Linked DNA regions of Neodiprion lecontei. The protein of the gene in region 2 purifies or fractionates together with the protein of the main gene of each other region. This does not show direct contact. Links are inferred from orthologs where the notes say so. Each region holds a gene or a part of one and is shown on either strand. Other genes may lie near its edges.

The links.
Region 1: the proteins of MAD2L1-binding protein (region 2) and mitotic spindle assembly checkpoint protein MAD1 purify together in Homo sapiens (co-immunoprecipitation; 4 studies listed by BioGRID and IntAct, with this or other methods). This does not show direct contact. The link is inferred for Neodiprion lecontei from reciprocal best matches to the Homo sapiens genes MAD2L1BP and MAD1L1.

Annotation. Positions count from the first base shown.
Region 1 is NC_060265.1:6,129,604-6,145,890, reverse strand, and holds mitotic spindle assembly checkpoint protein MAD1, read right to left. Parts: upstream 10,028-16,287; 5' UTR 9,848-10,027; intron 9,725-9,847; 5' UTR 9,714-9,724; coding exon 9,438-9,713; intron 9,322-9,437; coding exon 9,091-9,321; intron 8,929-9,090; coding exon 8,486-8,928; intron 8,393-8,485; coding exon 7,940-8,392; intron 7,812-7,939; coding exon 7,507-7,811; intron 7,393-7,506; coding exon 7,040-7,392; 3' UTR 6,987-7,039; downstream 1-6,986. Other genes in the region: uncharacterized protein LOC124295044, read right to left, coding at 11,117-11,185, 11,338-11,518, 11,688-11,808, 12,098-12,226, 12,320-12,335; uncharacterized protein LOC107218520, read right to left, coding at 13,372-13,556, 13,686-13,791, 13,885-14,019, 14,094-14,333; transmembrane protein 60, read right to left, coding at 15,214-15,390, 15,481-15,696. UniProt on the Homo sapiens protein: Component of the spindle-assembly checkpoint that prevents the onset of anaphase until all chromosomes are properly aligned at the metaphase plate.
Region 2 is NC_060266.1:94,879-110,077, reverse strand, and holds MAD2L1-binding protein, read right to left. Parts: upstream 8,958-15,199; 5' UTR 8,813-8,957; intron 8,648-8,812; 5' UTR 8,321-8,647; coding exon 7,899-8,320; intron 7,826-7,898; coding exon 7,441-7,825; 3' UTR 7,177-7,440; downstream 1-7,176. Other genes in the region: probable phospholipid hydroperoxide glutathione peroxidase, read right to left, coding at 1-250; uncharacterized protein LOC107223528, read left to right, coding at 3,052-3,195, 3,382-3,635, 3,718-3,861, 3,955-4,039, 4,235-4,405; probable alpha-ketoglutarate-dependent hypophosphite dioxygenase, read right to left, coding at 5,236-5,838, 5,965-6,183; adipocyte plasma membrane-associated protein, read left to right, coding at 10,483-10,592, 11,712-11,920, 12,064-12,349, 12,529-13,846. UniProt on the Homo sapiens protein: May function to silence the spindle checkpoint and allow mitosis to proceed through anaphase by binding MAD2L1 after it has become dissociated from the MAD2L1-CDC20 complex.

The DNA.
Region 1 (16,287 bases), on a different chromosome or scaffold from region 2:
GAGATTCTCCGAACCCCGTTCCCGTTTTCCGGAGCCGGCGAACTCGGCGATGGAGGCGGAGGATCTCGGGGGCAGAAGGAGAGAAACCGCCGTTCGTCGTGCGCCTTCTCACCCGAAGTCGATGATCTTTTGTAACCCCGCATAGCGGCTCGCTCACGCGAAACTGTCGTCGACCTGAAACTTTTCTCTCCCCCATGACGGCCGCGATGCGTACCGAACTTATTCTTTGTGTTCGGTTCGTCATCCTCGGAGAACGCGCGTCGTTCGTTTCTGTTTCTTTGCCATTTTTTCCTCTTATGTTGAGTTGGTTTGTTGGTTTTTTTTTTTTTTTTTGTTTTTTTTTTTGTTTTTTCACACGGAGCACCTTTATACCTGCGCGCATTTATTTTTGGAGAAAATTTATACGCGGGAAACAGAACCACTCGCAGAATTCGAGCATTTGGAAAAAAATTTTCTTAAACCAAAGTTTCCGTTGCAGAGTTTGTAGAGATTGTTGGTTCTTGGGATTTTTGTGTGAAATATTTCAAACCAGTATGCCAAGACGTGGAATTTTTTTTTTTATATTTCTGTTTGAGAAACACCAGAAGTTGGGGGGGGGGGGGGGGGGCAAAACATTTTTCGGTCGCGAAGTTTCATGTTATACTGCACGGTAATTAGGTACGATATCTGATTCTGCAATCTCGCGCGGGTCAAATTATTGCATTTCAATTATCTTCAAAATTGTACGGATTCGAGTATCACTTGATTTGTTATAAATTCACAGCGTATGATCTAATTACAGTCTGAGTGTCGCTGAATGCTCGAGATGTATTTTTCTCATTAACGGGTGGTTATAATTAATTATAGAAATGCAACACTATGCTAGCTGGATGGCTCGAGAGATGTTTTATTTTTATTCGATATAATTCTATAACGATATCCGTAATACGTGATATTTTAAGTATAATAATAAGAGAGATGCAGCTGAAAGCCCTTCGAACCTTAAATTTCTAGCTATCATTAGTATACAGTCCTTAACTATTTTCATTCTTTGCCATAAACGAAAAACATAGTTCTCTGTAAATAACGAAAATCAGTTGTTCTTTTTCAGCTGAAACCATGCAGAAGAACAAGTACATGTTACCGTATTCTTTGTTATTAAAACTGTGCACGAGGGGCGTCGTAATTACACAAAACAATTATGGGTGTAAAAAAAGTTTCGTCCAATATCAACGATATTACTTAACACGCTGTCGCAACGATAAGTATACCCGTTCTGCCAGCATTTTCTAACATTTTCCATCACGGGTGTATAAGAAACGAAATTTTTCTCCGCAACGCTGTCGCGTTAATGTTACAAGATACGGGGCACCGTATATCTTGACACGCTTTTACAACAAGTAGAGAATATTGCGTTAAGCATGTACCGGGGTAATACGGCGTATAGATCATACCCGGCTCGCAGGTGACGAAGGGATGGAAAGACGTCGTGGCGGGGGTGGAGGAGGGTTGCTGCCGTTGCTCCCGGTGGTGGTGCAGGAGGGTGGCAGGGCTCGCTAACGAGGGGCGCTCGTCGCCGGATTATCGCGTGTCTGTTTGCGTTATTGCTCCCCGAAGCTCGCGTCCGCCCCCGCCGTCACGCCCCTGTCATTAATTTTAATGCGGTGAAACGATGCGCCCCGTTTGTTACAATTTACAGGCTTACCGCCGGGCCGATGCCCGCCTGCCACGGCGTGCGGCCCGTCGCCCCGAAGAACGGGTTGATTAATTTTTCAGACCAAGTAAACCCGGCTGCCAATTTAGCCGTCTAGAAACAGGCCCCAAATGTTTACCGAAGACGGGGCGTTTTTAATCGAAAGCTCAAGTTCGTAAACCGTCGCAATTTCCGCGACGATCCCGTCCGTATCTGTAGCGCCGAAGAGAGAGATGGAGAGAGAGAGAGAGCTGGGAAAAATTATAGAAAGAGAGTGTATATCGACGGCGAACCGGGCCCCGTGCTGCTAAATTATTCATAAAACGCGCGCTTTTAAGGGGATCTTTCCTCTCCTCGAGGGCTCAAATATTCAAGACGTTGTTCGCTACGTGCTTTATGTGCTTTATGTATTACGACGCGGGTACGGGTCTGCACTGTATGTGTGTGCAGTCGAAAAAGGTGAAATTCCTCAGGTTCAGTTACTCCTCGGCTCCGCTTTGTCTCTCGCATTGTTTCACTTAAATTTGCTACTTCTGAAGATCAACCGAAACGTCCGCGCAGCGAGTCTTTCAATCTTCCTGAACCAAGCGGCGCACGGCGGCGGAGCTTTCGACCGGTGAAACAATATTATCGTCGGATTCGCAGTCCTCGACTCGCCCGGCCCGTTGAATTAAATCTTTCTTCTTCGTTGTACAATACCGTACAGACCTGGGTATACAATTTCACTCTCGCTTCGATCCATCCTCTCTTTTAGCGTATTTTCACATTGCACGTATCACCCTGCGCACTCTTCCTCGAGCATTACCCGGCCAAATTTGCTTTCGCCGCATGCAGGCGACTGCAACCGAACTCCCTGAAAATTTTCCTCGTTTAATACGGAGCCGGTGAACGTCTGCACGTATATTTCTTATAGTTGGGCCGTTCCCCGGGGAACCTGCAACCTCGGAATACGATATTCCGAAACTATCTCGCCCTTCGTCCGATCACGTGTTAGAGATAAAGGCGCTCGCATTCGCGTGCGGCGAGACTTTGCTGCACGTGTAGCTCCTCCCGAGATCATATCCGGCTCCCGCCCCGAAGCGACGGAACTTTTTAGCTCCCCGGCAGAGACCGCGATGCGAAATTGCCGCGAATATCGAGAGGCTTCTCCTGTACTCGGGATAAACACGAGAGAAACTCGCGCGGTGATCAGCGTTCATCCGGCTTTCCCCCCTGGGGCGAGTTTAAAAAGCCGCGCCTTTTTCAAACCCGACGCCCACCGTCACGTGACGCGCATCCCTTATTCCCCGATTCGATCCCGCCAACACTTGCGATTAACCACTTCGGGTTTCGGATGCCTACCGCCTACACCTCGCGGTTCGCATCGCCGCGTCTGACACACGTCCAGATCCTTCCGCTCGAAAAGCTGCTCACTTTTTCTAGACACGCGAACACCCCTGCGAACTCCCTCATAAATCTACGGTCACCCAGGGGGGCGGAAGCTGAATAAATTTATTCGTTCAAATTTGGTCAGAGGGGAGGAAAAGCTCAACAACGCTGTCTGGTCGTTCTTAAATATACAGTAGATAAAAATGTTAGACAGCTTTGCTTCCAACTAATTCTCTTTCAGGTGTATTATTCTCGAGTAATTACGTATTAATTTATCCTTATATTACACCGTTCGTCGCTTCAACATTTTTCTCTTCAACTCTAAATTTTTCTTCATCTCTAAGGTATCTTTACTGCACAGAGAATCAGAAAAGTTTCATGAAAGATTGAAAAAAAATTTTTGCCCTTCCTTTGCATTTGCTCTCGCAGATCTTGGTTATGCATAGTTATATGTTATGCAACAGTGGAAGAGTACATCATTAAGCATGGATAAAATTTCTAATTTCCTACCATCTGTTACGGTTAGAAAATGAAAAAGGGTCTCAAATAACAACAAGAATCCAAAAACAGGTTCGAAAAATTTGAAATTAACAGAAACAGAAACCAAACTATCCAGCCGCTTAAGAAACAAAAAACTAAACGGGATTTCAGTATCCCCCGCTGTTCGGTGGCGTGACAATGCCGTTCGTAAGTTTTCCCACTTTTATCAGGAACAAGAAAAGCAGTAAGAAACAGCAAAAGTTAGGTATTCCGACAGGTATATCCATAATAACGCCAGTATAAAACAAGGGAGTGCCTGGTCGGACTTAAGGCACGTGTTTCGCCCGTCGTAACTCCAGGAAGTCACGCAAGGTCCGAGGAAGACTGCCGCAGAGTTCGAGGAGACAGGTCCGTCCGTCGCTTCGTTCTCTTACACACCTACCACCACGTTTCCCCATTTTCCTCCTCCAGTTTTATTTTCCCTTCACGATGCTCTGCAGCGTTCGTTTATTCGCGGGTTTGGGGCGGGGGGTCGATCCGTGCAGACAAGATACACCACGTTCCGTTCGACCGGACACTGCAGGACAGGACCGACGACGACGTCGGCTCCGCGATTTTGAGCCTTTCGGTCCTCCTCTCGAGACCTTCGTTTTCCCAAACGCCCCCGACCTTCGACCCTCCCCCCCCCCCCCCCCCCCCTCCCACGGGTTCGAGACCATCGCGCGCCGGGCGCAATTTCCGGCCGCCACTCGCCCGCACTCTTATTTCCCGTCACGTCCTTCCGATGCCTCCCCCACCCCTCCGCCGTTCGCAGTCACGGACGCATCGCCACCCTCCAGCTCTTAGACGTAATGGACCCTAGGAACGGACAATTACCCCCACGGGGCAACGCGACTCCCTCGTCGAGTTCGCCAGGTGATCCGCCACCCCCGAAAACCACCCTCATCATCCTCCAATCCCTCACTCCGGGGTCTGATTTTCAGACGCTTCATGCGGCACGTATAATCGTGCACGCACCCTTGCGTCCGGGGGTAAATTAGCGCATTTCGAATGTCGGTACCCTTCGTTTTAAGACGCAGACCCTACGCTCCTCGCGTGTTGTAACGAACAACGGTTCTATTACTACTTTTCGCCGCGTCTAGTCTCGTTTATAATCTTTGTATCGTCTTCGTTTTCGGATAGACAGCCGGCGCTGCATTCTACGTCTGTAACCGGACTGATAAGAGTGCGCGTCGGATATTGTTCTCAGAAGTGATATTAAGTAACTGATTTTAAAAACGTGGTTTCGGTTATCTATCCGCCGGCGTTGCTTCGTCAACTTTCATGGAAAACGCCTGTCAAGTACATGCCTATACCGAATTGCCTTTGTCGGCGGGTACTCGTGCATGTATTAAACGCATGTCTGAACGAGTCAAGCCGTGTAAAGTGCATTGAAACGCGACGGTTGTTTAGCTGGTGTAAATATAGCTGTGTAGAAGTCAAGGTAAGTATAAACCGCATTGCAGTTGATCGTCAATAATTTGCGGAATATCGATCCTGGGCGAGGAGATTTGATTCGGACTCAAATTGGGGCCGGGGCAAAGGTATGAAGATTATATGAAATTGGCTGTAGGTAGAAAGGTGCACGATGGGTTGAACGGGAATAAGTTTAAACGATGTATGAGAAACCCCCGAACCATTGTCCGTTCTCCATGCACACCGATACACGCCAGTGTGGAACGGCAATCGTGTGTGTCATACAGGCAGAGGTATACGTATAAGCCACACACACAAACACGCGTGAACACGTACACGCATGCATACGTACACCGCACAAAAGCTCGAGGTACTTTGCGGGCCTCTCGGAAGACGGTAGAAATAAACGCGTTTTCTTCGAGTCCTTTTTCCACCGCCCCAGCAGCCCTTTTGCGTCTGTCTCTACGTGCGCCGGACACCTGGAGTATCTCTGGAGTATATAACTACGCCGAGTGGCTCCTCGACGTAGGCTCAGCGAGGGGCGAAAAGCGGGGCGTAAGCGAGAGAGGAAGGGAGGGCGAGAGAGTCCAGATTGATAATCAGGACTGAGCGACGCCGGGCACGAGGTCTCGGGGTGAGCACATACACGTCGCGTCGTCCTGCGTCTCTGTGTACGAAAGCGGTCGTCGAATATGGGGGGTGGAAGAGGAGGGCGACGCCGGGCAGGGTAGAGAGGACGAGTTTGCGATTAAACGTGATTATAATTAGCGATAATGGAGTTTAGCCCTTCGGAGCTCCCGAATGAAGCGGATCCGAGGGCGGCCGCACCAGCCTTTCCTTATTTTACCCCGTGTCCTGCGGGGGTGCTGCTCGCCGCCGCCGACCGATAGAGCGAACCTCTGTGCCCGGCTATGTATCTCCGTATTATGTACCATATACATTATGGGCATGTGTATATAACCGGGGTTCCGTAATCGCCCTTCCTTCTCCTCAACGAACCTCTACTTCTTCTTCGCCCGGCACAAATTATCACCCTGTCCCAAGTACTACGAGACTGTTATGTGCCCATAGATCTTGGCCGGTTCTCTCCACCTATGTCTAGAGATAATTACCACGTATTATACTAATCGTCGGATCGAATGGGACGAACCTTACGTGACGGTTATGGGGTTCGGATTGATATTGCCCCTCCGACGCGACGAGTCGAGTTTTCATCAATTACGTATGTTTCGTAACAATTTATCGGTCCGGAGTTTCATGCTTTTATTTTCCGTCAGTTTTTACTGTTGTTATATTATTGGGGATTTATAGAAAAAAAAATAAAAATTCGTCTCGTGGGATTTAATCGGTTGGTTAAAAGTTGAAGATTTATACAAGAATTTTGAAATTAAACGTTAAAACTGAATAGAAACCGTAAAACATATAATAGATACAACCCTAGTTGTTGTTTGCCATACTTTACCGTCACGTTCGGAGTTAATTGGAGATACCGCGTGACTGCAGAGATTATTTTCCACGGCTGTTGAGGTGCGTTTAATTTTGGACTCGTTTAACGCTCAACTGGACTTGGGATTTGTTAATTTGTACGGAGCTAATTAATTCAAATCATTTAAAATTTTAATTTGAATGCAAGTTAATCGTGCAATATGAATCTGTGTAAAACAAACCGTTCTGCAAACAATGTTCTTTATCATTCGGATCACAAATCAGAACAATGTGTCGAAATTTGTAAAAATAAAAAGCGAATGGCAATTCAGCTCTAAATTATTTACTAATTAAATATCCATTTGCTTTAAACAAAAAGTAATTATATGATTTATATGAAAAGTAATAATATCAATCATAATTATAGATATCGATTATGGAATCTCAGATGTATTTTCACGATACTTTTATACCATACTAAAAGTTTGTTAAAGTATTTAGTCGTACGTACAAGGGCTTAAAGCTGGGTACGAGTTACATATTTAAAGAGTTGACTCGTCATTTTCAAATCGCAACAATCGACAGCTCTTAATGAATTGGTTTATTTTCAGTTATTGTAATATTCATGTAAGGATAAGTTCAGCTTGTCACAGTCGCAGCGGTCTGTTGAGAGAAAAGTTCCGTTTGAACGGCATTTATAAACATCGGGACACTGTGCTGTCTCTGTAGGTGACACTCTATGAGGCTACCGAGAGTTGCGGAAAAATCGGTTTCCAAAAGATCAACGCCTTCCTCGCCAACTTGGAAGAATAGAAAGTCGTCCGGCGACTCTGCGTACTGACTCGATAGCTTGTACCGTCCCTCCTTTGTCCTGTCGACTCGCCATCCAAAAAGCTGATAGCAGGCCTGGCGGTACTCCTGCGAAGCCGCCTTGAATGCTTCTTTCAGGCGAGTGATCTTGATCTCATGAGTCTGCTTGAGCTCGGCAATTTCTGTAACAACGATTGAGAATTACCCGTTTGGATATGAGCAAACAATTGATATATTCGAGCCAAGGCATTGGTGAATGTATTTTTGTTACTCTTTTTTTGTAAAGAATTCTTTACCTTGAGCTTGAACAGATGATCCTACGGGTCCCAGATTCAAAGTGCCAGAGGCCGTTCTAGCTCTGAGTTCCTCGACCTCTCGTAGAAGAGCTTCGTACTTTTCGTCCGCCTGTCTCTCTGCTAGAGCGGCTGGATTCATCTTGAAGTGAAGGATCCTTGCATTGCAATTGAAATCTCCTTTTAGAGCTCTGTGTTCTAGCTCACCCTTGAGTCTCTCGATCTCTTCTCGTAACTTTTGGCACTGACCCTTCTGCACACAATCATCGGCAGCTTCTAAATCTGACTCTAATTTGCTGACAAGCTCCCTGAAAGTGGAATAGTATTTCGCAATTAAGGTATGTAAATAATATTAGAAATTTTCTCTTGTGTAGAAAAAAAGAAATAAAAAATCAATACACGTGAAGTAGAGAGAGGACAATGTTTTCATATCTACCTGTATCCGTCTATGGCTCGTTCCAAAGCTGGTACTCGTTCGGTAAGTACACTATGGCCATCAACGGTCATTTCCTTTTCGTACAAGTCGAGTTGCTGTCTGTAACTGTCTCGTTCTCGGGTAACTAGCATCATTTTCTTTTGTAGCCTGCTAACCAATTTGTTCAATTTTTCCCTGACACCTGTCATATCGTTTGCTATCGTCTTAGCTTCCTCGTACTTTTTACTAAGGTTTTGACATTCTCTCTGAGCAGATTCCATCTTTGACTTTAATTGACCTTCTTCGGCTGTTAAGATCAGTTCCGTTTGTTGCAAACGTTGTAATTCTTTTTTTAGCGCTAGTGGTCCACCAGTAATACCAATCGACTCATACTCCCTAATTTGTGACAGTAGCTCCGCCCGCTGTGCTTCGAGGTTTGCAATTCGCAGCTCCAACTTCTCTGTATGCTGAACCCTGATGGCAAGTTCACATTATTTACAAATCTAGATTGATGAACTCCTGTCATAGTTTATCGGCAAGATTGCTATTTGAAAACTTTTTTCTTACCTTTGTTGCATGCTGCAGATTTGTTCTTCGAGTAGCAACTTTCCTTTTACCGATTCTCGCAAAGTAGAAACCTGTTTATTGGCAGCATGAAGTTCTCGCTCTAGATCACTAGCACGTGCAGCTCTGGCCGCCATTGCTTTGCCCTCCTCACATAGCGATCGTTCAGATTCTAACTTTTCAATTTTCATCTTCAAATTTTGTACTTCTAATTCCAGCAATTCACTCTTCTGCTGGCCACTTCTGGCCTCTCTGAGGCTCTCTTCTAGTTGTAGAATTCTCTTCTCAGTAGCTTCGAGTTTCTGTGTTATTTCTGTTACATCCTCATTACAATCACTTGGTGGGATTTGCTGCCGATGCTGGCTGTTGGCTTGTCTAGTTTCATCCTGAAGTCTTGCATTGTCATTCATCAATGCAAGGGTTTTCTGATCTAGTTTCATCTTCACCTAAGCAAAAACATAGTAAAGCAAAATTGTAAAAGCATGTAATATATTGCAACATTATTTCTGTTTCTTTATTCTCCATTCTTCGAAATTCTTGCAGAAAATAAACCACGAACAAACAGTGTATTAGAAGTTACGTGAAAATTTTCAAAGTTTTCACATTACCAGGGCAGTCTCTCTTTCAGCATTAGTCTGGGCCTCTATAGCTTCTTGTGTTGTTTGCCGAGCCATGTCCAATCTAGCTTCTAGCAGTTTTATTGACTGTTTATCTTGTTCAGCCTGCATTTCAAACAATTTTTTTTGCTTGTCAAAGACTTGTTCCATTTGCCTTCTAACACCATGGAGCTGATCCACTGTGGCCTCTTGGTGCGACAGTCTTGTTCGCAACGAAATTACCTACATAAGTATACGAGTGGTAAGCTTGTGCAAAGGGAAATGCTTCGTATGACAAAAGTCATCGATATTTAACGCATTCCTTTAGTTTTCAAGTAACATTTTTTTGCAACAATTACCTCTCCCCTCAACCTTCTCCATTCCCATGGACTTCCAGGTGCGCCATCCAGACTAGATCTGTTAAGACTGGTATTCGTTTCATCTAGTCTAGGTCGTTTTGGGGTACGTTTGCTATCATCATTATCGATGTCACTGATGATAGAAGAAGAGGGAATGTAAGACGCCGAGGACAACCGTAACCCGGAAGACGTTAGGCTATTGCGTTGATAGCCTCCAGAACCTGATCGCAGATCCTTGATCATTTTGACAACACAGGTTGGATCGTCGTCACCCATGATTTGGAATTCTGAAAAGTTTCAGGGGTTGTTTACGAAAAGGTAACCTCTTGAGGGTCGATTCAGATGCTGTATCAACACTGACTCAGTTCTGTAGCTTCGTAGAAAAATCGTCAAATGCTACCGTAACTTACGTGTTTCAACTATCCTATACGGATAAATATGTTTATAGTTATTTTCAAACAATTCAAACACACATTCACACGTATACGAGCAGCCCTGCGAGAAGCACAGGCCGTTTTGCCAGCTTTACATTAATGCCGACGAAACGCCGCCATTGGCTAAATCCATGGTAAACCCAACGGTAATCCTGACCGGCATAGCTGAACTGACAGAGATAGAGCTCACTAGGGCCTTATGCGTTTGTAACATCTAGGGATTTCTAGAGGTTTTGATTCTGAGATAGCGAGATCGTTTACTCTGCACTTGGCAACACTACATACAAGTTTGCTTGCAAAACTGCACTAAGCGGCCGGTCCAACTGACGGATCTTATAATAATCGAACTCGTATAATATATCGTTTAAAAATAAGAAAATATGTCGTGTGCTATAAGACAACTGGAGGAGCGACAATTGTCGGTGGAGTTGACTTTGATGCGATGGTCACCAAAAATGGATCTGTTGGCTATAGCTAACATGAGAGGTTAGTACGATATGCGTTGTTTATGAAGTGGTAAAACGCCGACAATAAATGAGAGAGAGTATCGTTATCCTTACTTTCGATGATTCGCATTTTTCAGGGGAAATAGCACTTCATAGGCTCACGTGGCAGCGTGTCTGGCTTTTACCCCCGCCTGAAGCAACAGATTTGGTTCAGGATCTGACTTGGAGACCAAACGGAAAGCTCATTGCTGTTGTTTATAAAGAATCAAATCTCATACATCTTGTTGATGTTGAAAACAAGAATATCCTTCATAAAACTCAACAAAGTTCACAGGCAATTGTTACAACTTTGTCCTGGCTACCATTGGGCATTCAAGAGGCTGAAAAATGCGGAACTGGAATCAAAACTTGTTCCTCGTCAACTGGAGAATATCTTCCACCTTTGCCGAGCTTGAACAGAAGTTTTGGGCATGAGCCTGAGCACAAGGAAAGCTTATCCCAAACCTTGGACATGTTATTTGTAAGTGTGTCAAGAAATGAATGCTAAAATACATAGAAGATTAAAATTTCTTACAAATTCATTTCTCTTTGTTATGTCTCATTTTAATTACTCATTTATTCACACGTATGAATCATAAATAGACAATAGTCGAGGATAAAATGCAATGTAATTTACAATGTGCTCAATTTTTTACAGCTTGGAACTGAAGCAGGCACTGTTGCTATGTATGTCTTTGGGATGTTTAATTGTGGTACATTAAGCATAGGGCCAGGTTCCGTACAGGAAATCAACGGTGGTTCAGGGGGGCCAATTTGGGTCAGTCTGCGATCCTTGGAAAACATTAGTGTTGTTCATCTGTGTTGTCCACTTTTGGAAAGTAATGGAGCATTTTTAAAAGTGAGTTTCACTTCATCTATACTTTTTTGTAGCCTTAAAATTAAGGTGGCAGTGCTGAAAGTTGCGTCTGTTTCTAAAAGGTAGCGCAAGCTCAAGCTAATATTGAATATCTGATGGACTACCTCGATCGTACGCTGATGGCTATTTCCGAAGCATGGGAAACAATTCTCTTGGAAATGGATGAGAAATTGTCTCGTTACGCTGAGGCCAACCCTCCTGGAGCAGTGGCTGCAGATTTTTTGGACCTTCTTATGATCGGCATTCCCTCTGCGAATTTGGAAAATTTCCTCTTGAGAGACCTGACTGAAAAAGGGTTGAAGAAATTAGGACATAGCATTGAAATGTGCTACAGTAATATTCAGGTTCGTTTACTTCTTGGGAATAACTAAAGATATTCTAATTAGTTCTCAATCTTTTTGTGCAGAAATTAGTCCTAAAGCATCTTAGCAGCGTCGGAATGGCACTGACATACCAGCTGGCTGAAATGACTGGAATGGCCAAACTTGGTGGACAATACGAAGCCCTGGGATTTACTTCCGAAAGTGTAATTGACGAGGCTCTTCGGGCATCGGAAGCTTTTCTTGCCAAAGCATCTGAAATACAACAAGTCATCGATCATAGTATGCGTGATTACAAAGCATTTTTTCGGTGGGTAGAAAAAAATTTACGAATCGTTTATTTGTTACAGAATTGTTGTGCTTTTCAGATGGCTATATGTTGTTATACTCAAATTGACTGGCGAACGGGCGCCACCTGAAGTCAGCAGAGTTAGTCAACAGGACTTGACTTTTATAGCTGAATTTTTACGTGGGTTTGATCAAGTTGGAGATAAAGAAGGTGCTAGGAAAGGTGTAAATCTTGAAAAACTCGGTCAGTACTTACGAAAAGAACCTCTTCGGACATGCTTAACCCCCGATGGTAGTGAATGGGCTGCTATGCTCAGCGAGAATGTCTGTTTACAAAACCATCCGCTATTGGTTAGGCAAGACCTGTCGCTGTCCTTGCTACAATCTAATGCGAAATTGGTTGACGCGATAAGCGTCGTGTTTGGTCAGGCTTACCAGGGGCTAGTGAATCTCTTCATTCCTACAGTCGTGAGCTTACCAGCTGTGTCGACCATTTCTTACTCATCGTTGCATTCACAGTTTGTCACATCTGAGAAGGATTTACTGCTTGCTTTCTCAGACCTGAATGGAAAAACTTTACAGATGTTTAAGGTCGTCCAAAATCCGGGTACTGAAAACTCTTTAACAGTCAAAAGTGCAAGCATTGACGCGGATCGACGACAAGGTAGACGAAGCAAATAAAAATTAAATCATCGTTACAACATTCAAATCATGGTTGTACTATCATGTTATGTAACTTTTTACAGGTTGCGATACAAAAGATATCTCTGCTAGCAGTAGTAGTTTGATAGGAGACTTGCAATTTTATTCGCAAGATTATTTAAGTCTGCTCATTCTGGATCATCACATACATTCGTCGTATTTCGTGCAGCTGCCTCTTGGCCATGTTTTCACATTTGATACTAGAGAGAATATGGGTATTAGTGAAGTGGTTGAACTTTCTGGTGGAACTTGGCCAAAACCTGTTCAAGGAATAGCGGCGAGTCGTTTGGCTGTAAGTGGAGCCCGGAAAGTGGCTGCAATTCTTAGTGAGAGCAACCGTAAAATTCGTATACTGGAAATAGAAGTTGAGGAAGAAGATGACGATGAAGATGATGAAGATCAAGCAGAAGAGGCAGATGATAGCGTAATGGATACCACTGCTGGTGCTAGTACAAACACAGCTCCACAGTGAGATTCTTTGAGCAAATGTAAGTAGTTTTTATTCATTAGTTGTGCATCTTAAATCTCATTGTTCTACATGTATATCAATCTATTCAATTGCTATAATTGCTTAGTATAGATTTGGTACAACTAGTTTGTTCTTAACAAAGTTAATTATTCTATTGTTATGAAAATTATGCTTATCACATTCACATTTGTAGATATAATGTCATACCTTGTCACATAATGTCCTTGACCATTTATATTTATTGCGCAATACATTGTGACCACTCGATATTCATTTTTTATAAACTGTATTTCTGTATTGGTTCACAAATTATTAGGCTCCAACAGCGTTTGTAAGTATTACTAACTTTTGATGAAAAATTATGGAATCTCAACAGCCTGCTCCTGATGCATCTTACTAAATACTTTTGGGAAATCAACATCCACTGCTGCATTCTCAATGCCTATTTCTTCTGGAGGTGGCGTGTTATTGCGAACTACTCCTGCAGACCTACGTGTTCCATCTCTATAATTGACTGGTGAGTTTTCCCTTGATGGTTCCATATCTGAAATTGATTGAACGAAGTTCGTGTAGTAAAGCACGCTCGATGTTGATATTTTATGTCATATGTGATAATTGATTTGACTGATCACCACTTGTATTTGGATATGGTATAATAGTTGAAGCGTCTCACCAAAATATTTAAGATTTCTACGTCGTTTGGTCGTAATTACGTACAGTAGCAAGGCGATGATTACAACTATTACCATAACAGCGGCCAAGCTTCTCAATAAGTTTGTCTAAAATAGAAAAATGGCATTTACTTCTTTCAACTGTCTTACATTACAGTCTAAAAAATATCACGAAAGCAAAAACTAAGCTAAAAATCTTGCCTCAAAGTCATTCTCCCAGACATCTTCCCAGTCTCTTGTAACTATCAGCTCAACCGTTTCCATGCTGATGACAGATTCATCATTTATACCTCTCGAGATACATTTATAGAAACCAGATTCAGCAGTCGAAACACCCTGGTGACAAAAAACTACCCAAGTTGAATTATCCTAACAGAGCTCTATCTAAATATTTGGGGAAATTATATTACCCTAATCATGAGCTTCCCAGTTAGTACTTGGTAGTTGTATTTTTCTGGGTTCTGTGGGTTTCCTGGACCTATGATATTATTTTTATTAGAGAGCTCCCAATACATGAAACGATGATTGTCGTCGATACTTGGGCATGGCAATTCGGCTAAATGGCCAGCACTAACTTCTTTCACAATCACAGCTTCAATAACCCATGTTACGCTCGTTATGAGAGCTATCACCAGTACCCATGTAATCATCTACGCATAATTGTACAGAACAATATTTTTAAACGATTTATAAATCTCGTACACTTTTCAAAAATGATTACTTTTTTAAACGTTGCTGGTTTGAGAATTTCACAAAATTTGCGATTCTAGTTATTTTTCAACAAAATACATTAGTTTTTGTTATCACAAGCATGTGCAAATATAATTTTTCAACACCGTATATTTGTTTAGCACATTGTGGTTAATAAGAAAATCAAATTAGTTCTCACTTTTCGACTTTTCTTTGTAGTTCCGAAATTTTTGTACCAGAGTCAAGCCTAGGAAGGTTACTCTGTTTTCAGTTGCTAAGCTGCAATGCACAGTAAAATCTTAGATAATGAGCTCTACCTGTGCGTTTACTGGCTGCTTAGACAACTAAGAACTACTCGATATATTTATTTATATCTCCGTCCTATTCATCCTTGGATCTACTAGATTATTTTTAGTATCTGTCTTGTGACCATTTTGCTTCATCCATTTTAGCATTCCTTGTCTCTAGTTATGGAAGGTTCTTTAAAAAAAAATACGCTAATTCGAATATATAATGTTTCGAAGTTGCCATTGAATAGACAATAAATTGATAACAAATTTCTAACGTAGAACAGCTAAAATGTCTTATGTAAAAAGATTTTCACATTTTTGTTTGAACCAAGTATGTTTCTATTTATTGTTTCCGCCTATTTATACAATTTTGGGACAGGTTCTTTCAGTTGAAAGAAAAAATAACTGGGTATTTAGGTGAAAAATAATTTATTCATAACATATGTGGAGAAATAATGATGCAATGTGTTATTCACAACCAAAAACCAGGGAGACGTGAATTTTTTCACTGTGGATCTTTGGCCGTGTGATAATGTACATTATTGGACAGTTAGTATCGAGAGTGTTGAATGAGATGGATAAAGACATCGCACCCTAGTGTTAGGAGTAAAACCCACAAGGGGGCGAGTACAACTTTGGCTGGTAATGTCAATTGCGTTGCTTCCAATTTAAGACAGAGAAGACCTTGACCGGACAGCTTAGTCAGAACAGCAGTCATGTACCATGCCTAAAAAATTGAAGCTGATTAGTTGTTGGTAAGATGAGTCTGAATATGTATTGTATAAGCATGTATCTTAACAAGGATTATTCTTATTACTTTACGACGTAGACTGCTGATGTGATCATGTCCGTTCTTGCAGTGCGATATCATGCGAAATATTATATAGATTAATAGAATGTTGTCGTACAGCCACATTGGTATGAAAACTATAAACCAATTCCATTGTATTCTAAGATCCAGTCTCAACACCAAGAGTATTAGGAATATCAATAGATTGAACCACGTGAACAATGCTCTGTGTAAAACAGCCATACTGACACGAGAAGGTGTAGATCTTTCGGAGAAAGTTTTTTCTTGCTCTTTTAAAACTTGTCACTTTTTTGCTAATTGCTATTACTTCAGTAGCAAATGCATTTTAGGAACTCCGTGTAATTACTACATTGCATTGCATGTCATCTGATTGGCAGAGTGAGATCATTCTTCAAATCAGCAATTCTTCATTTTTAATTGTCTACGTACAGAACAGAAGATTATTGTATAACAGTCTGAACATTCGATGCTATTTCAAGTAAAGATTCTGACGGTTGGTTTAAAATTGTTTTTACGAGTTTAGGTCAATCTATAATTAGGGTTTATGCTATAGCTAAGATCCGACGAATATTTTGAGGTTATGATTCATTCGATCGATGTGGGATATAATAAACAATTCAGTTATCATGAGAAGTGAATGATGATGAAAAATCACTGGAATGTTGATCACCGGTATGTAATTTGTGGTAATAAAACCCATCGAGATATCACGACGGAAATTGTTTACATCACGTTTGTGCGTTTGACGTTGACGTGATTGAGACTCTTAAATTAAGCAGACTACGACAGTAGCGATGCATCGAAAATCGAACA
Region 2 (15,199 bases):
TGTAGATCGAAAGAGATACGTCGTCGCCGCGTATATCCTTCGCGGTGAACTCGTGCATCGAGCCGGCGTTTCTCCAATCCGTGTACTGATCAAAAGTTTCCATCTTGTTCGCGGAGCAACGATCTCGGTCGTTCCTTCGGCATGTCGAGTCCTCGGAAGCTGTATAAACCAGCTCCGTTGTTCCGAGTGACAGGAAAGTAACGAGTATCGCAGTTGGGAGAATCTGCGGAAGCACCGACCTTCCATCCATCCTGGATATGTAATATCGTTGGGTAGGTATTCGATTCGCGAATAGTTACCGTGCAACGTCACGCGCGCACCTATAAAACGAACGGCGCTACCACGAGACGGTCGGTCGTCCGAACGGAATGTCATCGGGAATCGCGATTAACCTCGCAATGCTTACAGTCATTCCCACTCGACCGTCCTCCTCCCACCACCACTTCCGCACGGTAAGCCATCGCAAAGCGCGCAGCCGTGTTCGTCGCATGCTAGCACGTATTTACGTACAGACGTATACGCGCGCGTAAGAACGTGCATTCATTCGGTCGCGTCGGTGAGTTCGCAGTACGCTGGCCTACCATCGTTGTGTTTTCGTGCACAATTATTTAATGCCATTTATTCACAGTCGCAGGCGTTTACGTACATCGAGTTACGTGTTACAAGTTACTCTTGATGAAACGCAAACGGGTTACACGTGTATTCGTGTGTACCGAGTTGCGTGCGATGATCGAGCCGGCTGCTACTCGTTGCCATTACTTGCGCTATTTCACAAAACGTATGCGAGTAAAAATTGAGTGTCGGGTAACAGAAATATTTTAGCTACAACAATTAAATTGCTAGATCTGAGATAAAAGCCCAGCGACAATCGGACGCGTAGACGGCCGGATAGGAGTTTATGTGTTACTTGATTCTTTTGGCTGCCGTCAACTCAAATCCATCACCGTTCACGTACGTGATCGAGCATTACCGATTACCACATCTCATAATACGTGACACGGTGGACCTCGTGTCTATAGATCGACCCGTTCGACGTTTCGGTATAGTAGTGCAAGTTGCGAAAATTAGTAGCTCACAGCACGCATCTCGATGCACGTAAACGCCTAAGTGGTTGTCCCTCAATTATTTCTGTTACCTGATATTCAATTTTTACCCGTACGCGTTTTGTCGAATAGCGTAAGTAACGACAATTATTTCGGCCCAACGCACGAAACTCGGTGGACGGTAAACATGGTGTGTTATACGAGAATAGCAGCCTATAAAGCGAATCGTGTGCGGTTCGCAGCGTCGCCCTACCACGGTCCACGTCTTCCCTCCGAAGTAGTGATACAAGTGTAAATGTAAATGCCTTAATTACAAATACGGGGCTAATCACCCGAAATTTGAGAATTCCAAGTCACCACGGGTAATTTTGAGCGGAGAAAATCCGGATATTTCAGAATATACGCTGCTTTTTTTCAAGATTTTTCTGTAATGATTTAAGTGCGAATATGCATACCATGCAACGTGCATTAAGTCCCTACAAAATTCTTAACAAAATAGATCCATGTATCGTCCCGATTAGTTAGCTACTCGTAATCTCAATTTCAATTATTTTGCCATTTGGCAGGTTTCTTTTTTCCAATACTACAAGATACTTGAAGCGTGACAAGTTTCGAAAGGAATAAAACGTTACTGTTAATTATTATCAATCGTAATTCATATTTATATATCATCAACTATAAGTATAATTATAGCTTGTAGCTAATTTAGCGCTCGGCTTTCTTTCCACGGCTTTTTCAGGATTGCATTGAGATTATGTACGTACGCATGCATGTATGCATGCCGGTAAGATCGCTCAATTGCATAGCGTTACGGGAGCGGGTGATTTCAGTGGACGCAGCTAACTGCGAGAGATTATAGTTGTTAGTGATCTCGTTATTGGCTACTCATTTCTGCTCAAAGACATTCGCCAAAGGAGGTTAGAATTCGTCAACGCGTAATATACCTTTCTTTTTTGGTAATTAAATCGTCGCGCGGTGCGCTAATTGTACAAGGTCATTAAAGAAGGCCATGAGTGCTATATTGATGTATTTTCGCATTTCGATGCCGGTGAAAAAATGGAATTGAGCAAGCTCACCTGAAAAGTGTCGTTTTCTGATTATGCGTTCCTCGTTGAAGTGTATAATTTCAAAAAAAGTCGTTCTCTCTTAGCTGTGCAATTACACAACATGCTCGGAACCTTGGCTGACCGCACTGTTAGCGTAGTATACCAATTATTCTCGGCAGGTTCATTAATCTTGAACAGTCTGTAAACTTTGCGATTACTTTTACGGTTGCAGTCCTACAGTTTCCGACCAATGCAAGCTGTCGGCACTTTCGTTTCATATTAATCGAAACAGGGCTACGCGTTGACACTGCACTCACGACACGGTCGACGGATATGGATATGACATGGATACGGGAAGATTGGGTTACGGAACTTTGTTATCAAAAGAAGACCTCTAAGTTTCAGCGCGCTCGTCGTCCGTGATATCAAAGGACAAAATCAGCCGCCTTTGCAGCCTCGCCAATCGCCGAACAACGGTCAAACGATCAACCACCGCTTGATTGACCGATGTACCCCCGCATGCCTACGTACGTACGTACATAGGCAGATGTGCACGTATAATGTTCACCGTACGTTTATCACTGTGTTTTTATGGGTTCAGCTCATCGTCCACGCCTATCACGGCTATCACCTGAAACCTGAAACGATCGACATCTCTCTACCCTGCGTAGATTGACAATTGAATGTCGTGATCACGTGATAGATTCCAGAAAAATTCCCGGTAATCGTGATTGAAATGGAGGAGTTTTACCTTATAAACGTCACATGATAGATATTGGTATTAACAAGCCGCCGCGGCGTCTCATACTCTGGAGTATTTCGAAATTCGACATCGGCTTACGATCTGACCGGCGTGTTGGATTTTCGGGGTAGGAATCGATGTCTATGATCCCAGGCACGACTTATGACTATTGGCAACATGATTGACGTGCAAAAATTAAATTGACAATTATTCTTAGGACATGCGGATCCTAACGAAGCACAAGGAGCTAATTGAACGCGATGCCAACGACATTTCAATACTATGGAAATTACTACAAATGTTGTTCTACTGTGTTAGCGCAATAGCCGGCTACGTCACCGCACACGCATTTTTTATGTTTCAGGTATAATTCAGCTCTGTAAGTTCAAGGCATAAATCTCGAGTTGTAATTTTATTTGTGATTTTTATTTGAGGTAAATAAACAAATATTTGTTGGAATTATCTCGCCTATAACTAGCATGTTGCGCTGATAGCAGCGAGCGGCCAGGATTCCTAATATTTAGTACAACCAACCGTCTGATTAAAATAGGATTTATTTGACCGTCGTTGCATATTGTGGGCGACGCCGGGGTTGGAACCAGATCGTAAAGTGTCAGTGGCAGGTATCGTTAATTACAGGATCTCGTCAATGGGACAACCTTGGCAAGACAGGCTGACAGTCAGTTACAACACTCAACATCATTGCTCTACGATACAGATAATATCGATTCTTTCGTGTATCTGTGGTATTGTTGGCTTTTCTTTCTTTTCCATATGTGGGCGCGGAGGTTACCAAGTTGGAATGTAAGTTGTCAACAATGAGTTAGGTGTGCATACAAGAGACAATGCAACGATTATTGATTAAACAATATATCTTCGCATCCAGATACTACAGTCCCTGGAGACTGGTTGGACCGGCTATACTTTTCAACTTATGTCTGACGTTGCTAACTTGGCGGTCGGCCTGCAATTTCCAAGAGGGATTCCATCATTTTCAATACCGTCTCAATGGGATGCTAAATCAATCTGGGTATTCTTTTGTCGATTTTTTCCCTCATACTTATTTGCCAATGTTACCGGCGCTAACATCTGTATAACATACGCGTCTTTTGTTCTCTCAAAGGAATGAACCCATCACGGAATACCTGCCGACAAGCAAAAAAAACACCTACAATAGACTTGTGTGGAAATATTATGGAATCACAAAGGTATGGCACGATGACAATTCTATCACACTCCAAATTGACATCCTTACGTGACGCTGATTTTATCCAAAGAATTTATTTAAACAAAATTTATGGGTAATATCGGCCATCCTTGAGTATGATTCTCGATTACAAATTTTGCGAGATTACTAGTTTAAAATATTGAAACTTGCGCTTCGTCTCACCGCAATACAAAAGATCTCATCTTGGGTGGAAGTTGCTGCCTGGGTCATGGGACTTACACTTCTGGTACTACGAGTTGTAAATGTCACCGACTTCAGGTTGATGAAAACCTCTGTATATGCCCTCGAAACAGAAGACGAAGAACATCGAGATGAATCTCTTCGCTACAGATTCGAAGAATCATGAACTTTGGTAGTGCGCGTTAAAACTTTAACCGGTGTTTCTAGCACTCCTCGGTTTAATCCATTCTTACAACGAATAAATCCTATTCTTTGCATACGAGGTGAAATTGTTTACATCAATACCTACATCAAACGATACATCAATGATAACGCAGTCCACGCCGTAGCATTTTTTCAAATAAATCTTTCAATATTTCCTTGCAACATCGCCCCACAATATCGTTCAGGACCTCCCGAGATTTCGTAAATTTTTTCAACACCTGCCTCGATCAGCAAAAATTTTTCAAGATTTCACAATACCTCAAAAAATCTGAGAATATTTCATACGTAACAGACCGAAGAGTAATTGGGAAAGTATAATGGAAAAGGTGAAATTGCCAATGATAACGTGAAAGGATAAGAGTTGTATGACCTATATTCATCCATACTAATTAGTTGTAATAATCATGCGGGAGTGGTTGGCGCTGGTATATAGTAAAACTCAGGCAGAGTTTGTTGTGCTTTCTCAAGCAGATATTCTTGCACAATTACTTACTTTAACATATGATGCGTACAATTGTGTGCATATAAAACTGCTATTATCAGTCGGCGTACAAGCAATGACAGATTGAGAACACTGGGAACGGCATGGAGACGTTTGATGTTTCTTGCTGCCAAGGCCTCGGGTATTTTATTTAAAATTATCAACACTACACGCACATGGCGTACACATGTTACATAGATTACATACAACTGTTGCGAAAAACAATCCAGTTATACCAATCACATAGACAGGCAAAAAATGAGCAAGATATTGGCGGTACAGAAAAGCGAATAAATATAAAAGTTCGTGAATTAGTCAGCGAATCGCGTGGCCATGTTTGCGCTGCGATGTACATTCCTACCACGCAGGACAAGATTTTGTGCCGGTGATTGATGACATGCTCTCGTAGGTTCATCATCTGCGGCTCTGAGTTGTAAAAGGAACATCCTTCGAGCACGGTCGGAGAGATTCAAATATGATCCGTGAAGGAGGAGGTAAGAGAAAACGATTACTTCCCCCTTCTTCGCCGAGATAGGGGTCGCACCCTTCAATGGCCATTTGTTTTGATCTACCCAGTGATATTGTTCACCCTGCTCATCCGTTATACCTTTGTCAGCCAGAGGTCCAAGTTTATGACTTCCTGGATAAACTGCTAAGCCTCCATTCTCCGGAGTCGTATCATCCAGGTGTAAAAATACAGCTACCATGGTGTGATTTTTGAAGGGAAAGTAGGGATAGTCTTGATGCATCAGATAAGGTGCTCCATTCTCAGGGGGCTTTATGTGCGCCTTGGTGTGATGCAACAAGACATCTGGAGTACCCAGCACATCTTCCATGGCATCTAGCAACTTTGAATTCATTATCACTCTGGTGAAAACGGAACTGTGCATTTGTAAGTTGTGGATCGCCTTCACCTGTTAGCAAGCCCATTGAAACATAGAATTACTCGATCGTTAAAAGTGGAGCACCGGAGAGATACACGTAGATAATACAAGTGCTCGGAAAATTAAGGCTAAGCAAAAACGTTATGATGTACAAACCGTATAATCAATAAACCCAGCCTCTTGCTTCACCCTATCCCCGCTCCATGCGGATTCCAGTCCCTCCAGATTCTCTCTGGTCTTGCGCTCGAAAAGCTCGTTGTATTCTTGAGAAATCTCTTCCATCTCGGCCTCGCTGAATATTCCACTCAGCTTGATGAATCCATTTTTCTCATAAAACTCCTTGTCCTCAGGCTTCAGATATTTTAAAACACCCATTGCGTAACGAACTGACGACCAGCACAGTTTGCAGCAACAGGATTCGAACTGAGGATTTCTACTAGCTGGGCCGTTACTTTAACGCATATCACCCCACTGCTTCTACCATTGTCAGTCCCTCTCTCTATATTCAATTCCTCGTTTTTCCTTACTTGTTTTTGAAACCGCATTTGCCAATGCCCAGTGATAGTCAAGCTTACATATCAATTTTTTATATAACGCAAGAAACATTTTTCGCACAGTTGTGCAATATTGTTATCTCTCAATTCAGCTGTGCTGCTTACGTAAACAGCCAGTTTGACAAGCAGACATTTGACCGGACGGGAGAGATAGGCCTTGTTGCGTCTCATCGTGATGATTTCTTTGGTTCTTTTCCCTAGTTACGTACTAGCTTTGATGGAAAAAATTATCATTTCTTATAAACGTCGTTTCGCGAATACACAGGAAGCAAAACCGTAAACCTGTCGGTATGTGTAATTTGTAATAGGTTGTAAGCGAGCGGGCCACGCGCAAAGCTTGGTCAATTCAAGTAGATGCCACTTGCCAAACGGCTGATGCAATAACCGAGATGATCCAATAGTCAGTGACCTGAACACCGTAGCGCCAAGTTAAGAGGGTTATCAAGCGAAACAAGCCTATCAGCGGTACGGCCCTTGACCCCTTCAAGACCAAATACATTTTGGTAGATGGTATTGAACGGCACATCTCTGATAGATGCTGCGGACGTCAAGATCGTAAATTATAATTTACTGACGTTGAATGCATGTAATGGAAAATTTCGACACAACGTTTTACGTAACGTACCATCTTGCCTCGTGACAACGAAAATCCTTCAATTTCAAGCAATCTTCCGAACGAAGTTAATAATTGTTCAATCTATACAAAGTAAAAGCTTGATCGATTCACAGAACTGAATGGTTATTCCATTTTGCTCAGTCAGTGTTTACTGTTTTACCTGGGGTCAGGCCGCAAACATGGCTGTTGAATTTCGTGTTTTCGATTGGCTTTTCAAATTCATTTGCAGCAAGACTGGACATATTCAATTGCGTATTTACATAAATGGCTTAATAGATATAAAACATTACACAACTGAGAAAGTGCTCAGCGATTGTCCATAAAAATCGACATCTGATGCTCAAGGTTATAACCATTTCATCAATTATACGAACTAAATAATCAGCTAATCATTTATCAGCCTGGATGATATAATAAACAATAAAGTTTTGCCAGAAGGGTGAACAAAAAACAATGATTGCATCACCGAGAAAACTTGAAGCCTTTGATAATGTCTCTGGACTGATACCATTGGTAAATACTGTCTTGGCCTCCTTCAAATATTTTTTCAGTACTGCGGTGTCCGGCTGTGTTCTGACTAGGTGCCAATTCCGAATACGAAGCATCTCGATCTCGATATACGCTTACTGTATTCTTGCAATTGCAATTCCACATTTCATGACTTTTATGGGACAGCTTTAGGTGTAAACGACTTCCTGCCGTCGCATTAGTTATCGCGTAACGTGGTTTAGGCACAAAGAATTCCGACACCTTGTTGCAATCTCTCTTTTGCAAGAGGAAAAACGTATTCGTGGGCATCAAAGGCAACGCCATAGCTTCTTGAAAATCTACGCTCTCCGTTATGGATCTGGGAAAAATAATAACATGAAAGATAGACCATAAGCAGGTGATAGATAAGAAGGGGGATCGCAGTGTCGTACCTCATGAGGTTCAACAGTGGCTTACGAGGGGAATGCTGCTGCTTGAAATGGCACTGTCCACTGAGTATTTCTGGGGGAAGGCTCACTCGAAGGCAGAATTTTGGAGCAAGTATTGTCGCGCCCATTGATATAAAGATTTCCTTTACCGCTGAACTCTCGCAACATAATTCGGTATTTAAATGTTCCGAAATATTCTCCAGGCAACTCAATGTTGCTCTCGCCGTTGCCAAACTCCTGTCGTTGACTCCTACCGACGAAGCTCCCAGTCGCAGTAAATACTCGTAGCTCACCGGAATCTGTTGCTTTTGATACAACAGATATTTGACCAGCTCCAAAATTAATTTGCAACACGAGTCACTAGTTAAAGGTTCGTCCAGTTTCACACACACTTCTAACTCCTCGATTTTTTTTCGCCCCAGCATTTTCGTCAATTACTTCGACCAGTCGTGTACCTAGGTCGTGTATGGGTTATCTACGGCTTCGTAAATCGTAAATCAGTCCGAAATCAGTCGTCGGTCCAATATGACGCCAATACGTAACAAATCAGTGTTCATCACACAACGCACACATTCGAATAGATGTCTTATACTGATACAACTTTTATTCGCTATGATAATAGCGAGGAATGAAATAATAATATGTATGCACATGGAGAATGCATCGGCGCTGAAAGAGTGCCGCAACGCCCGATAATGTCCCCCAATGAGGGCGAGGGAGAGGAACGTAGTTAGACAATGTGCTCTCTCTTCCTGCAACAGAAGCGTCCCCATCACAGTTGTTCACCCATCGAGAATTGGCTAAGTGCACCGTTCGCACTCACTCGAAATAATCCGAATAATACGTGGAGTTTCTATGGAGTTTCGGAATCGTTTAACCCGTTTTTACTACAAACTTTCGAGAGTTGGTAAACTTACCAATGGTGAATTCCTGCGCGTACGCGCAGTATATTTTCAAAATGCGCGCTACTTTGCCGCATCATGGAGTCGCGCTTGCCAGATACTACCAGAAAGACTCTAGTGATCTCCCTTTCTCGCCAGTTGTATCAGCTCTCTTGCTTCCTCATTCTCGTTTTCTCCTCTCTCTCTCTCCCTCTCTCTCTCTCTCTCTCTCTCTCTCTCTTTCTCTCCTTCCCTCATTCTCTTCAGTCAGATGGCCAGTCAGGTGGCTTCGTTCATTTTGACACCGGTTTTCAACGACTGAAATACAGTTTCCAACGAATGCTCTTGAGGTTTACGGTACATCTACCTAGGATGTATTCCATTGAAGTTATATCTTCCATACCTGCGGTGTTGTCGACCTGTGGTGATGTGTGGGCAAAGTCCAGCGAAATCCAAAGAGGATAGGATTGGCCAAGTCAACGAACCCAAAAATTCAACAGTCGTTAACCGTCATTCGTGATCAACTGTGAACGTGAAAAATCACTCATCGTACATCCTTAGCACCGTTCTGAGACTGGTAATAATTTTTATACTTGACCCTCGGTGTTTCTACCGAATCCACGATAATGCCGTTTTCTTAGAAATATCTTGCTCCAAAATCGCATTTAGGTTCCAACTTAATTTCAACTATATAAAAATTGTCGCTGTACGCGTAGCAACACAATTATGCTTGATTGTTTTTTTTTTTTTTTTTTTTTTACCTGTGACCGTTATGTTGCCGTGCGTGACGCGGCAAGTTGGAAGTATCCGGCGATATCTTAGGTATACCTGCTTGGGTCAGCTAAATATTCACATTTCATACGAACAAACTTATTACCCCTGTCGGGTGTTCTGTTATTTCGCGCTCATTTTGATAATTTGTTTTACAAATTATTTTATACATCATTATAAAAACAACAGTACCCAGAGAATTTCTTCAACCCGCTCTATTGGAATTCGACAAGAAGTATACATAATTCCTTTGATTACCTGAAAGCATTCATTATGTTATAATCGTTGTGCGACATAGTTCATCGTCTTTTTTCTAGGCATATCTAAGGTGAGTATTTCAATCCAAATTCATTATCGCGTGATACGCATTTTTTAAACACGTCTTATTGCTGTTGTATTGCATACTTTATCTACGATCAATTATGATCCTTCAAGTAGCTCCCAGCAGCTTTCACTTACTCCAACTGAAAGTGTAGACTATTCGCAAGAAGAAGAAGTGCGATAGATAAAAGAAAATCAGTTACTCCTCAATATTTGTGGAAAGCGCTATCAGTAATTCTCATTCGCTACAGTGGAAATATAATGTTTTTGTATGCCAGGTTATAGTAGACACAATTTCAGTGACTTTAGCTTGCTTTATATGGTGAATGTCTAGTAAGAGACCCTTCCAAGCCCTATGGCCACCGTCTGGTGCCAACACCTGTGCGATTGTGGGCAAATGTTCAGTGGTAAGAGTTGTGCGTATGTTGATGCATGCATTGACAGCATGCCATATAAGGATCTGTTACAAGGGATATACACGGGATACATCTTATTATTGAAACATCCGCTGAGTTATTTCAGATCTGTACTATTTCTTAAATGTATTGCACTATGTTACATTAGCAGCATAACATTTCTGATACATGCGTTTTGTTTTATCCCAGGTTACGACAATGGGTTACCTAAAGTCTATAGGCACCACATTCATCTATATTGGATTATTTCTGGCGCTCATCACTTTCCTACCTGGCCTACCACCAGATGCACAGTTTGCTGAATACAAGTAGGTACACAATGGAAAATTGAATGAGATGATTATATTGCAGATTGCTAACCACATTCCACCCGGCATCCTTTCTATAGATTTGTCACTGTTTCTTAAATATTGTGAATGTTTGGTGAAGCGGACTCCTTGAAGCTGCTGAAGGTGATTGATTCTTTGCACCAACTCTTATGGGCTAGTACTTACTATTTGTGTCTGGGGTCAGCTTTACCAAAGATTCACAATGCTTCTGCTGTTTTAACCTAATTCACTCTGATACTGGGCAAGGAGACTAATTGTAAGAAATATTATTTTCAGACGCTTGAGATCCATGAATCGTGTTATTCCCTGCAATATAGACAAGCTTGCATATCACTTATGTTTTTATCCTCTTTGCAAAAAACGTAACATAAAATTGTTCTTGAATTTACCCTGTGACGTGGCATTTCTCGCTCTCAACAAAAACAAACTCATCGGAAGAGTGTAGAGGCTGCGAGATGCAGATTTTGCGATTTGCAGTTTGTATTCTCTCATCGGTACATTGCCCCTAGGAGCGGGGGAGTTGTAACGCGGCATGTCTCGCTGTTTGGGTAGCAGTTTGGAACGGTGTTTAGCGGGAGCTCGAGTAGCTCAGTAGTGAGAGCAGTTGCCCAGGAAGCAAAAGGTTTTCTAGTTCCAATTCGTGTCCTTCAAGCCGTGAAATAATATTTCTGGACATACCGAAAAGCTTGTCACATTACACATCCTTTTAAACCTGTGTTCTACATACTCGACAGTTGTTTCTCAAAGTTTCATGGGTTCAAGTACTGATTTCATTACTTCAAATGCAATTATTCATACCGCTTGCGTTGAGAGCCCACATATCAGAGCTTATTCTTTATAAGAGCTTTGAATTCTATGTGCCACATGGTAGAATTTCATGAGATTTTCACTCACAGTATTTCTGAAACGAACAGTTTTTGTGCTTTATGTAATTTTCGTATTAATTGACTGTGCTGAGTTGACTACTTGAAATGCGTTGTGAAGAGAAACATTACTTGACTACAAAAAATTGTACATCCCCAATGAATCAAAAGTAAGACTAAAGTTTATGAGGAATATGCCACTCGGTCTCTGTTACAACTTGTCGTCCCTTTGCAGTATATCGCCACCGCAGCAGTTCCTAACAGATGCCCTGAAATTGAACAACAGACTGGATGATGCCGAAATTCTGTTTGAAGGGAAACTAAAGGGCCCTGAATCTTTTACCTCACGTAACGGGGAATTGTTCACCACCTTGCATGGAGGCGACATTGTTAAGATTATAGGGCATCATATTGTACCTATCGCCAAGTTTGGTAGACCGTGCGGTGAGTCTCTCCCTGAAAAATTTCCGTTCCTTAATTAATTACTTGAAATATTGCTCCAACCTGACCTTAATATTATGCATTATTTTTCCAATCTTAAAATACTTGAAACTTGGAATCAAATTTGGTACCTCTCTGTCTGATAGATGGAGTCTGGATGGAAAAAGAATGTGGTCGACCCTTAGGTTTACAATTTGACAAAAACGGAATATTGTACGTTGCCGATCCTTATAACGGTATCTTTAAGGTAGATGTCATGACAGGAGAGTATGATATGATCGTTGATATTTCAAAGCCGATAGAGGGTAAGTTACCCCTCCTCGCCAATAGCTTGGACATTGCCGCAAATGGAGACATATACTGGACCGACTCGTCCCAAGATTTTATCCTTCAGGACGGTGTTTACACATGTCTGGCAAATCCAGCTGGCAGGTAACAATTTTAATATACACAAGTTTCATCTTGTTGTCAATCGAATTATCGAGCTTTGTCGATTGTACTAAAGCAGAATTAAATACAGAACAACGACGATTATGCCCAGTTATGTTTAAGAACATTGGTTTACCCTGCTTGTAGAATACCAACAGCTGGCGAATATTCTTTTTTTTCAGGTTAATCAAGTATGATTCATCGACCGAGCGGAATACTGTACTGGTCGCAAACCTTGGCTTTGCTAATGGAGTCAAGCTGAGTAAGGATGAGAGCTTTGTAGTGGTAGCTGAGACAATGACATCTCGCCTGTCAAAATTTCATCTCAAAGGAGATAAGGCTGGCACTGCGGAAATCTTTATACAAGGCCTTCCTGGTTTGCCAGACAACATCCATACGGACGGAGGGGATGGATTTTTGGTCAGCCTGATAGTTACTGCTGATGCTGATCATCCCATCCTCGTCCAATCCTTAGCACCCCATCCGTATATCAGAAAAATGCTAGCTCGGATCCTCTACTTACTAGAAGCCCCGTTCAAGCTTGTCGAGGACGCTTATCCAAATTGTTATACTAAGAGAGCTGTACATTGGATCGGCCATTTTGAAAGTGTTAAATTTCTACAGCATGAAAGCGTTGTTGTGCTCAGAATCGGCTTTGATGGTAAGATCACAGACGTTTTATACACTAGCGATGGCAAAATCAGCGGAATAAGTTCAGCATACATATTAAAAGATTATTTATATCTTGGTTCACCATACAACGAATATCTGGCCAGGGTGCCATTGAAACGGGCATTTCCAGCTATGAAAAGTGAATTAAACAATGTTGCCGATAACGTAGTCGAACGGCAAGACGCGAAAACTCCACCAAAATCTATCGGAGATTCTAAGCTGACCGGTTCAGCTGCTGCGCCTGTCGCGAGTGGAACACCAAAGCCAAAACCAGCACCGTCTAGAAGAAAACCAACGCAGGTACCTACCCAACAACAGGTTAACGTCAACCCGCCAACCCAGCAGCAGAAGCCTGTGACTGTTTCTCCGACAAATCAGCAACAGCAGGCTGTTACTACAGATACGCCAACTCGTCAACAGCAGCCCATATCTACAGTTTCGCCACCCCGGCAACAGCAGCCTGTCACTGTTACTCCAACGAAGCGGCAAGAACAACAGCAGCAACAAAAAGCGACATCGAACCCAACGAGTGCAGGGAAGGAAATGAGGCCCGAATCAGTGAAGGTAGTTCCTGCGCCTCAGCCTGCACAACCCTCACCCAATGTGTCCAAAGTGTCAGTGGAAGGAGGGAGTGAAAATAGGGAACGTGTGAAACCTGGTACCGCACAAAATCCAAACGTAGGTCAGCAGGCAAGAGTAAGGCCGACTCCACAACCGGCATTTACGAAGCAATCAACAACGCATCCCCATCAAGGGGCAACAGAAAATCCGAGTAACGCTCAAAAACAGTCACCTCAGCCCGCGCCAGTCACCGGTCGAAACAACTAAGGCAACGATACGAAACCTTATGAACAAACGGTCAAACCACCGACTGCTCCTACCCTGTCATCACGAAGCGAATGATACCGCAGGGTGACAAACGGCCGTCTGTGTCACTCTTCAAGCCCTTTGAGGTAATAATAACAATATCCGGGTCTTCTAGCGACATTTTGCTGTGTGATTATCGTTTAAATGGCAACGTTTGTATACAGATCTGCACTAGTGAAAGTATACTAACGACTGCAAACTGGTGTACCGAAACGCCGAATTCAATTCGTCCGAAAAATGTCGCCGTCAGGCAACGCCGATAAGAAATCGCCTTCTTATAGATCTAATAACGGCATACCAAAAGATTGGTATCTCTTGTTCCATCTTCACTGTCGGAATTGTATCGCTAGCTTCGCTAATACACTGATTCCGCGCCCTCAATCCCTGTGTGTACGATCCGAGAACTCTGTCGTAGAACGGGTAGGTATTTACCAGTGTTCAACCAATGGAAACAGTGATAATCTGAAGAAACTGGGAACTGTGACAAAATTCTAGGATCGGCGCGGATGCATGTTATCAGACGTTAAACGAGGTTGACGTTATACTACACATGATGCTGAGCGGTACCAAATTTCTGATCGCGCTACGACTGGGAGTTCGTGTTCGTTGGTACCGGCTTAGTGGTTTTCGACATTCAATCAATATTTCATAACATCTAGCTACACCACAATAATCACTGTCTTCATTTTTAATTTTAGAATGATACTTTTTCACTAATAAAGATGGGTTTCGTTTGTTTTTTATTTTTTTTTATTTTTTTTTTTTCCAATGGGGGCAGAATTAGTAGCAGCAGCAGCAACAGCAGTGTGAATAATTAGTAACCATAATATTAGTAGAATTAGTATATGAAAAAGTAATGTTACTACCAACAGTGCGCTACGACTATTCTCGTAATTCCTGGTGTAATCACGAAATTTGGTGTTATATATGCTCCTATAACGCTTTCACTGAACTTTGAATATCCCGTGTACAGAATGAGTTCAAGCTATCTCATACCAATGAACTGAAAGATTTTCTCGTGCATCGAAATACGCGACGAATTAATTATACTGGGACCTTACATTCCCAACCACATTTCAAATGCTCAATGGCTCAAAGCTCATGCAAGGCACAACTGTCCGCTGCCAACATGTAAGGATAATAGCAAACTTGAATTGTCGTATTTGTGGCGCAATATCACTCATGCGTCATCAGACGCTCGGGTGCGCCAACTCAGAGAATTAAAACTTAACGTACCGAATATATCATATTAGATGCACACTATGAACATTCCGTCATTATCTCTCATTTACAAGCTGTTGTCATTTTTACTGT